Linked DNA regions of Caenorhabditis elegans. The protein of the gene in region 2 purifies or fractionates together with the protein of the main gene of each other region. This does not show direct contact. Each region holds a gene or a part of one and is shown on either strand. Other genes may lie near its edges.

Evidence for each region. Proteins that work in one complex are often made in the same cells at the same time.
Region 1: the proteins of F23D12.10 (region 2) and tag-273 purify together in Caenorhabditis elegans (affinity purification with mass spectrometry, with the first as the bait; one large-scale study listed by BioGRID). This does not show direct contact.

The regions. Positions count from the first base shown.
Region 1 is NC_003282.8:14,502,139-14,506,789, reverse strand, and holds the start of tag-273 (LIM zinc-binding domain-containing protein), read left to right. Parts: upstream 1-1,650; coding exon 1,651-1,758; intron 1,759-1,797; exon of another isoform or gene 1,798-1,818; intron 1,819-1,925; exon of another isoform or gene 1,926-1,946; intron 1,947-2,189; exon of another isoform or gene 2,190-2,210; intron 2,211-2,275; exon of another isoform or gene 2,276-2,296; intron 2,297-2,628; exon of another isoform or gene 2,629-2,652; intron 2,653-2,697; exon of another isoform or gene 2,698-2,723; intron 2,724-2,753; coding exon 2,754-2,777; intron 2,778-3,065; coding exon 3,066-3,170; exon of another isoform or gene 3,171-3,184; intron 3,185-3,292; exon of another isoform or gene 3,293-3,316; intron 3,317-3,381; exon of another isoform or gene 3,382-3,402; intron 3,403-3,438; exon of another isoform or gene 3,439-3,459; intron 3,460-3,633; coding exon 3,634-3,872; intron 3,873-4,054; exon of another isoform or gene 4,055-4,075; intron 4,076-4,257; exon of another isoform or gene 4,258-4,278; intron 4,279-4,517; exon of another isoform or gene 4,518-4,539; intron 4,540-4,651.
Region 2 is NC_003284.9:14,413,056-14,417,529, reverse strand, and holds F23D12.10 (Protein kinase domain-containing protein), read left to right. Parts: upstream 1-1,788; 5' UTR 1,789-1,873; coding exon 1,874-1,903; intron 1,904-1,947; coding exon 1,948-2,208; intron 2,209-2,308; coding exon 2,309-2,464; intron 2,465-2,515; coding exon 2,516-3,352; intron 3,353-3,397; coding exon 3,398-3,733; intron 3,734-3,780; coding exon 3,781-3,819; 3' UTR 3,820-3,952; downstream 3,953-4,474. Other genes in the region: F23D12.2 (BRCA-2_OB1 domain-containing protein), read left to right, coding at 1-586, 777-983, 1,035-1,166.

The DNA.
Region 1 (4,651 bases), on a different chromosome or scaffold from region 2:
AATCATCAGTAAATCACTGAAAAGTTAATTTTCACCAATATTCAATTTTTGAAGCCTTATGCGGCTCATTTGAAAATTTTCAATTTTCTGAACTTTTAATATTTTTACTTTTTCAGATAGCTGAGATAACCTTTCAATGAAAATCTAGCTTCAATATTTCAATTTAGCATGAATTTAAAAAATATAATTTAAAATTTGTACGATAAACAGGAACAAAAATTTTGAAAACTTGCGTTTTAAAAATTACTGAATGTTAATTTTTTAGATTTTTTTAAAATTCACTTTTTGAAGATACTTTTTTTTAATATTCGAAATTTGAGAAACATTTTTTGATATTTATTTTTGCTTAAAAAAACTGAATAAATTTCTACTTTTTCTCATAATTCACAAAATCTCAATCAATTTTATTTAATTTTATACTGGATAACGTTTTCACAAAAATTGTCAACAATCCAAAAATAAATTTTCCGGTTTCGCAACAATTATCTCTTCTATCTATCCTGATGACCAGTTCCTCCTGCTCTTTTTGAAAAACATTCACACAGCAACAACTGTTCTTTATCACCTTCCGTTGTTGATCACTTTACTGCTTCCACGGTGCCAACAATTTCACCACTCACTATTTTGAAATTTTTCGATTATAATTTTCACTGATCATTTGATTTTACATTTCGAAAACTTATGAAACTGTTTTGAAATTTATTTTAAATATTTTTTTTATTGAAAAAAAAATCAATCAAGATATATCACAATAAACTTTTTGATGGCCTAATGCCAAGTGGTATATGACATTTTATTAGTTACAATAATGAAACTGAAAATGTTTTTTCACTTGGTAACTTTTGCACAGTTTAACAAAATAAATTTACTGATTCAAAAATTAAATATTAACATTTTATATAGCGTAAACTTCATTTTTGAACTGAATGCTAAACTGAGCAAATCGACACTAACTTAAATATAGCGTATTTCATCCAATTTTTATTCTCTGTTTCAGACATGTATCAAGTAGTTATCTGATTACAAAAGTTTTTTGGCACACTGCTTTTTTTACACTGCTTTTTATTCTTTAACTAAATTTTAAAAATACGTTTATTGGTAATGTCACCGATGCGGGTGGATCCAATTTATTTAACTGCAAAATGTATCATTTTTGTATCAGTTTCGGTAGTTTATTAGTCCTATAAGTTTTTAGAAACATTTAAATTTTAAAAGTGACACCCAAAAATCATAAATCAACACTTTTCACAAAAAGAATGGAAAATGAGAAAGTTTTGAAACATTGATCAAATTTTAAAATGTATATATTTCCATTTCATTATAATTATTTTTCTAAAAGCTGCTATATAATATTATCAGAATAAAATCAATTTTTGCTTCTGTATTTATTGAATATTTTGAAAAATTGTTTTGATATGTTTCAGTATTTTCATATTTCAGATTTATTACAAGAAAATAAATATTCAAGTGCATGTAAGGAAACACGTACTACTCGCAAACTACAACTTTCATGAAACTGTGAAACATTAAAAAATTATAATCCTTTTTTTGCTCTTTCTTGTTATTTCTTCCAAATTTTCAGGGTTTCGCGTGTCAATGGAATCTAATTTAAAAAATTTCCAGACACCCCCTCAAAACTAATCCAGAAAAATGACAGAGGAGGAGGATCCATACGCACTTTCTTCATCGGAATCTGAAGATGAAGCCCCAAAAAAGCCAATCAAGATTGAGGGAAGAAGCGGTGATTTGAAGCAGTTGGTGAGTGAAATAACTGTCAGAAAATAAAGGAAGTTTGCATTATATATTATATATTATATATTAGATTCAGATAATTTGAGAGAAATTTTTATGAAGTAGTGAAACTGCAAGAATTTTAGTTTCGGTTTCAAATTAAGACCAAATTTTTAAAAATGTCTAAAATTTAATTGAAATTTTCAAGCACATTTTCATATAGCTGTAACTTTTCTTTTTTCAATTTTTCTCATTAGAGCGTTCTTGCCACACTATATACAAACTAGTCGTATTGGATAAAAGAACAGCACTTGAATTGGATAAATAGCGAAAAACGGCTGCTCTGTCAAGTGACCAAAAAACACAATGGGATCTAAAGATCTATTTAAACGTACTTGAAACGTTCCAAATTTGTACCCGGGAAGATGTTTATATTGGGATACTGTCAAAGAACAAACCAAAGAAAAGGAGAGGTGCGATCAAATTTGCATAAAAATCGTCGAAACTTAAAAAGACTTTGAAACGGTAAATTTTCCAAACTCATATTAGCAATATTCCAAATTTATCATGGGATTAGATAATTAAACAACTTTAAAACGCTGCATGAAACACGCTTTTTCAAGTAACAACAAATTTTTATTGGTTCTGTGAGTTATTAAATTTACATTTTTTAGACAAATTTGCTGTTAATTTTGTAAAACTGTTATCATTTCCAAGATAACTCCCTTCATTTCTAAAATTTTGATCTTTACTGTATCCGTGTAATTTGAAAAAAATCCCGTTTTAAAATTATCTAAAAATTCAACACAGGTATAATCTATGAATTTTCTAGATAATACGAGAAAAAAATTACCGTTTCATGAAATTATTTTTGTCGGAAAACAATGAGGTATTCATTATTCCATTTAAAGTTTATGTCACATGTTTCAATATATTTTCAAAAAGTTAAAAAAAATTAATTTCAAGTTCGTTGGACAAATTATAAGGAGACACTGTTTTTATTTAAAAAATGTATTTTTTAGAGAGAAGCGCTCAGCGACCAAACAGTAAGTTGGAAACCACAATCTCACAAATTTCTTCCCACTTCTTCAAAAAATGCTTTACCATCGCATTTTCCTATTAGTACTGCACCCCAATCCTCACATTTCAAAAAAAAAGGTCCCAAAGTAATGAAAAGCTTCTCAGCTTTTCCTATTTTTCTCCAATTTTACCGCACTTCTACAGCTTGTTTCATCACTTCTCCCACCTTTTCCAATCACGTTAACAGCTGCTTATGACACCCAATTTTCTAAAAAAAAAATAAATTGACAAAACAAATAAACCAATTATTTCAGAAATCGGCACTTTTCGAAAACAAGGGTCCCGTCAAAGATGAGGCACGAGAAGAGGAATTGGCAGCTTTGAAAGCCGGAAATCAGGAGTTGAAGAAAATGAAAAAGGTTCGTTCTATGCACTGACGTATTATAAACTGGTACTTAATATGGGCACAGTAAAACAGATAAACTTTTTCACCAAAATATTTTTTTCTGATTTATAAGAAATTCATCCAAATTTTTAAAGATGGTATGGATCGACGACGAAAGCACTTTTCCGTGTTTTGAACACGACTTATATAGAATAGTTGAAACATTGAATTTTTTTTCAAAAAAAAAACGCACTTCTCGAATTACATTAGTTGGTTACAAAGTAAAAGTGATTTTAAGCATTGTTTGGGAAGCGGGCGAAATATTAAAAAAAGATTTTTAACTGAAGTATGAAAACTAGTTGAAACATAACATTTTTTCTTAATTTAATTTTACCAATTGAGAAATTTCAAGAAAATCCAAGCAACCGTCTCGAAATATGACATTTCTCATATCTCGACTATCAATAAAAAGCAAAAAAAAAAAATCAATACTTCAGGACTTCGAAACCGGCGCCGTGCATAACATTGAAAACGAGGACGATGAAACCAAAATTGCTCGCCTTGAAGAACGTCAGAAGCTAACGGAAATTGGCCAGGAGAAATTCTCAAAGTTCAAGACAAAGTTTGAGAATATCGATTCGACGATGGATGAGGATTTAGAGCAGAAGCTGAAAAGAATGCAGAAGGAGCAAATTGGAGGAGTTGGAAAAGAGACTTTGGCTAGTGCCAAGGAGAGGTGCGGTTTTTATGTTTGTTACAATCGAAAATCTGACATTTAGGTCGCAAAACCTTTAAAAAAACAATCATAGCCTTGATTAAAAATCTTTTTTTTTTTCAAAATGTTTTCTAAATTTTTACTTTACAAATTTCCACTGTTTCAACATGATATTAAAAATTCGAATTTTTTTCAATTTACAATCTGAACACTTTTCGATTTTCCGACACTGCTTAAATGACCCCATTACTAAAACTTTTTGCTTATAAAAAAATAAATCGCAATTCTTACTAGAAATAAATAACTATTTTATAAAGTAACAAAACAATTATTTAAATTAATTTAAACTTTAAAAATTCCGCAGTTTTGTCAACTCCATAAATAGTAAAATTTGTAATATTGTTAATCCATGTTTTTTTTTTCGGAACCAAATCTCTATTTTCATTGCAAGATTACCGTGATCATGTCTCATAAAAATTGACTGAGAATGAGAAAAAATCAAATGATTTTTAAGGTTTTTGTTTCAAAAAGCAAACTTTAGACTATAAAAATGGTTTTTTAAACGTTTTTGCGAGATTATTTTCTTATTAAAAACAATTTGAATTTTTTGTAAATTTTTCACTGTTCTACAATGTTTATTTAACAAATTAGCCTGACCCGAAAGCGTTATCAATTTTTCGAACACATTTTTAAAAGCAAAGTTCAAAAAATACATATTTGGCCAGACGCAGATGAAAAGCTTTCTGAAAATTAAATTTAGAAGTATGAAAAAAAGATAACATTTATCGAAATTCTGCAAC
Region 2 (4,474 bases):
AAAAGCGGATGAACTTGTGGCTGCTGAAAAGCGAATGAAGGAGTTTTTGGAAAAGAAGAAGAATGCAAAACAGCGATTCCCTATTCCAAAAGCTGTCAATTCTTCAGGGAACTCAACTCGCTCCATTGTCATAGAGGAAACTAACACTGTCAAGACGGAACTAAATGCTCGAAAAGCAGCTGAAATCAACTTACAAATAACAAAACCTCCGATTTCAACGATACCAGTGGTTCAACCAAGTACACCTTCATCAACAAGAAAAATCTTGGTGTCAAATGTTAAATTGCCTGCCATTCTTCAAAGCAAAGATGAATATATTGCGAGTCAAAAGCTTATGCAAGATTTACGGGAGAAAACTCAGAATTTAGCAAAGCAGTTGTCAATTATATCAGCTCAAGCTTCGAGAAAATCTAGTGATGAAGTCATACACGGGAAAACCGGCGAAATGGAAAAACGGAGGCAAACCTATGGCACAATACCATCTCAAATAATTCCAACGTCTTCACAAATATCAAACACCAGTTCTAAAGTTAGTTCGCTCGTATCTCATGGCCGGACTAAATTGAAGAATACCACAACTACAAAGGTACGTGATTCAAAAGCTGCTCTAATTTGTACTTACTAGGAAATATATAAGATCGACGGGTAATCCAGTTGACCCAATGTTTTTTCAATTTAGCTTTTTTTTAATCGGAAATAAACTAAAATTTATGAAAACACTGAATTTTAACAATCTAAAAATAACGAAAATTCAGTAAAATTGTTTCTTTTTTCAGATTCCTTCCGGAGTAAATAAAAACGGTTTACATGCGAACACCTGCCGGGATCCAACTTTTCAACGTTCAAATCACAAGGCAAGAGATTTGAAACCAAGTGACGGGAAATGGCTAGAACGAAATATGGCACAGTTGTTTGGGCGATACGTGCCGCTGAAACAGTCTTCTCATAACTCAACGAGCGGAGTAGTAGAATGTTCAAATGAGGTGATAAAAATTTAGTATTTCATATTTTGATATAACTATTTTTATTTTTAGAAAAGCGATATTGCGCCGGTGGATGCCTGTACCAGTTCAAATCCGGAAACTGAAAAACCATCGGATGGTTCTGGATTTCGAATTATATCGATATTCGATCACTCTACTAAAACTATTCATTTTCCATTGTGAAGGGTTTTGGATATCATTACATCTGTTCCGGTTGTCATTTTCCATTTATTTTCCAAAATACGGTTATATTTTATGGGTTTCTCATGTCAGTGATAACTTGTTTCGTATATTATAACGAATGTTTGTTTGATTTTAAATACAAATCCCCTAAATCGGTTTATTGATTTTTTTAGATGTATATTTCAAACTTTTAGACCAAGAACACTGTGCTGTTATTTTTGCTATAAATCCTTGATTCCTAACATATTTATTTCTAAATTGATTATCATACCATTGGTGCAAAATTGGGCCATTTTGAATTTTTATATATTTCTATTTCTAATAGCATTTTTTTTTAAACTTATTACATCTTGTTTGGTTCCATTAAATATCTGTGAAACAAACACATGACCAACACCCTGTAAAAACAGTTTTGGCAGACAACACCAAAACAGTATGGAAATGTGAGAGACTGCGAGAAAGGGAGACAAGGTCCGCAGGTGTACGTAATATACGTTGTTTTCTACAGAACACTGCTTGAGACAGCTGAGTGCCTTTTCCGCTTGTATATTTTATCTATTCTTTTCGAATTACAATTTCAACTGTTTCTCATCAATTTTTAAATCCGAGAAATTAATTTTGCAGCTAGCTGGTTGGAACTTGGGATCCTTGATTCAAAACAAGAAACCTGTCTATCAAGTGCCGTTGTTTCGAACGTATGAGCAACTATGAATGAGAAGTTTGCATCTATTTACTCGGTTGGTAATTATCCCCTTGATAAACAGTAGCATAGTATTTACAGGGACTTGGCCAATATCACCATATGTCTATGTCACTGACCGAGGCAGAGGTTCCTAGTTGCAATCGTTTCCAATTTGGCAGAATATCTTCCTACTGCTCTGACATGTGGGAGTATTACAAACCGCAATCATTGGAAGCTCTGAATCCAACTTTCCCAAAAATAGGAACTTGCCCATCTTCAACTGTGTCAATGGCAGACAATTTGTCAGGGATTCTGGAATTGCACTCATCGTTTGATTTAACAAATACAACTTCTAAATCGGTGAGTGCTTATAACTGTACAGTAAGAACATCTTAGTACTAATATTAAAATTTGTTGATATTAGTTTAATGTTCTACAAAATACTCTTAAAATGTTTTAGGTTCCGAACACTCCTTTTGGCGAATATCCAACGATGATTTGGGAGGCTCCAAAGTTGTGCACATCAGATAATAATAATAACAACTCTTGCAAAAATGATCAACGTAATGAAGAAAAGGTTGATGATAAAACGAGGTCTTTAATTAAAAAACTATCGGTTGGTTGCATTTTGGTTTTGCTTTATTTTATTTTATAAAATTATTTTCAGAAAATTGCCAACTATGTGTTCGGACCTTTCTTCAAGTCTGCAATCACCAAAAATTCAAATTTTGCTATCAAACCACTGGAGATTAATGAACAACCAGATATAATCAATTGCAATTTTCCTGTTTCAAAATCTGCCGTGAGCAAAACGAATTTGAAAAATGTGAGTAATAATTACAAACAAAAAATGCATTTCGCTTCAAAATCCCATTTTCATCCAGCGGACTTGGAAATGAATCCAGCGGACTTGGAAATTTCTTTGATGAGAACTAACAACACAGAATCCAATCTCAAGAATACTGAGAAGATCGCAACTTCCATAAACGAAATGATGGATATGATCTCAGATGACAACTATATCCCAATGCTCCAGAATAATGTGGCGAAACACCAGAAGAGAAAAGTGGAGATATGTTCGTTAGATGATAACGTAGTGTATACTTCTAGAAAACTAACAAAAGAGCTTTTGAAATGCTCAAAAACTGAAAAACCTGACTATGAGCCATCATCTGCAAAAACTCCCCAGGGAAACTTCTTCAAAGGCGATTCCTCGGCAAAAATTGATTTGTTCAAAGGATCACATAAGTTCATCAAAGACGAACGTGCGGAAACTTGTCCTGATAAAACTGAGATAACGCCGGAAGAAGTGATTGGCTCTACTCAAAACTTGCACGAGAACAAAGCAATTAAAGATGTCAAAGTGCCAATCAACGCAAACAACTTGAAACAAAAAAATGTTAAGGAAATTCCAACGACAGTAGATGTTGGTCAGCTACCAATATTAGATTACAACTATTCAAATTCTTCAAGAACAATGAATGAAAACTTGTTCAGCCCAAAGGTGAGATATTACTGAAATTGGTAGTGATGAATATTTTTATTTCAGAAAGTGTTTGGCAAAAACGAGTATCAATATGGCCCGTCGATGGGTAAACTAATTGAAAGGATGGGAACCGGAACTCCAAAGAAAGTGGTCTCCGAGTATTCTTCATCTCCAATAGCTGCAATCTTTTCGCCAAAAAAGGATAGTCATGAATTTGCTGATTCAAATAAACTGCAGAAAACTACAAAACCTTCCATTTGTATGAAATTTGGAAACTGCGGTCGCCTTCCTGATTTGGAACCAAATAAGAAAAACTGGTTGAGACAAAACATGGCACAATTCGCTGGTCACCATGCGTCTGTTATTGATAGCACTAAAAGCTTTACCAAATTGAAGGAGGTAATTTCAAATAGTTACGCATAACTTTAACTTTTAATTGGTTTCAGATATACAATCTTCCGCGCACTACTGGCCACAGCAACTAATAACTTTGAAACTAAACTTCCTCCATATTGAATTGATCTTCATTTGTACAATTATAACACTTTTTAATTGAAATTAATTATTTAAACGCCACTTTGTGAATATCGTTTGATTTTTATTTGCCTTTTTTTATAATATTTAGTATATAATTTTTGGTATATTTTTCCTAGCAATTAACATTAACATTTAAAGTAAACATTTAAAAGACTGACTGTCGAGTGAAGAATTGCACAATGAATTTTTTGGTATTTTACTTCAAATTATTTCTGTGATCATCATCTTAAGCCCGATACTTTCTCACATTTTCGCAAATTTACCGCAAACCTTGCTATATAATAAAATTGTATGTACACACTGCTTTAATGTTCCAGATGGAAATTTTTTTAAATAATTTCATGAACAGTTTTTCAAGACATCTCTCGTTTTTCAATGGTTTACGCTTTATCTATACGAGATTCTTCTCAGAGTACTCCAAAACTGTTTAATCGATAGCGCACACCTTCTCTATTTCTCAGCTTCTCCAAGTGTCGTCAAATATGATGTTGCATATGTATGTGCATTTTTATTATCCTTGCAACGTCATTCGGAACACTGTTTTTCCTTTTGATTTCATTGATTTTTCAATTTAAAAAGCCACATTTTTTAACGACATAACTA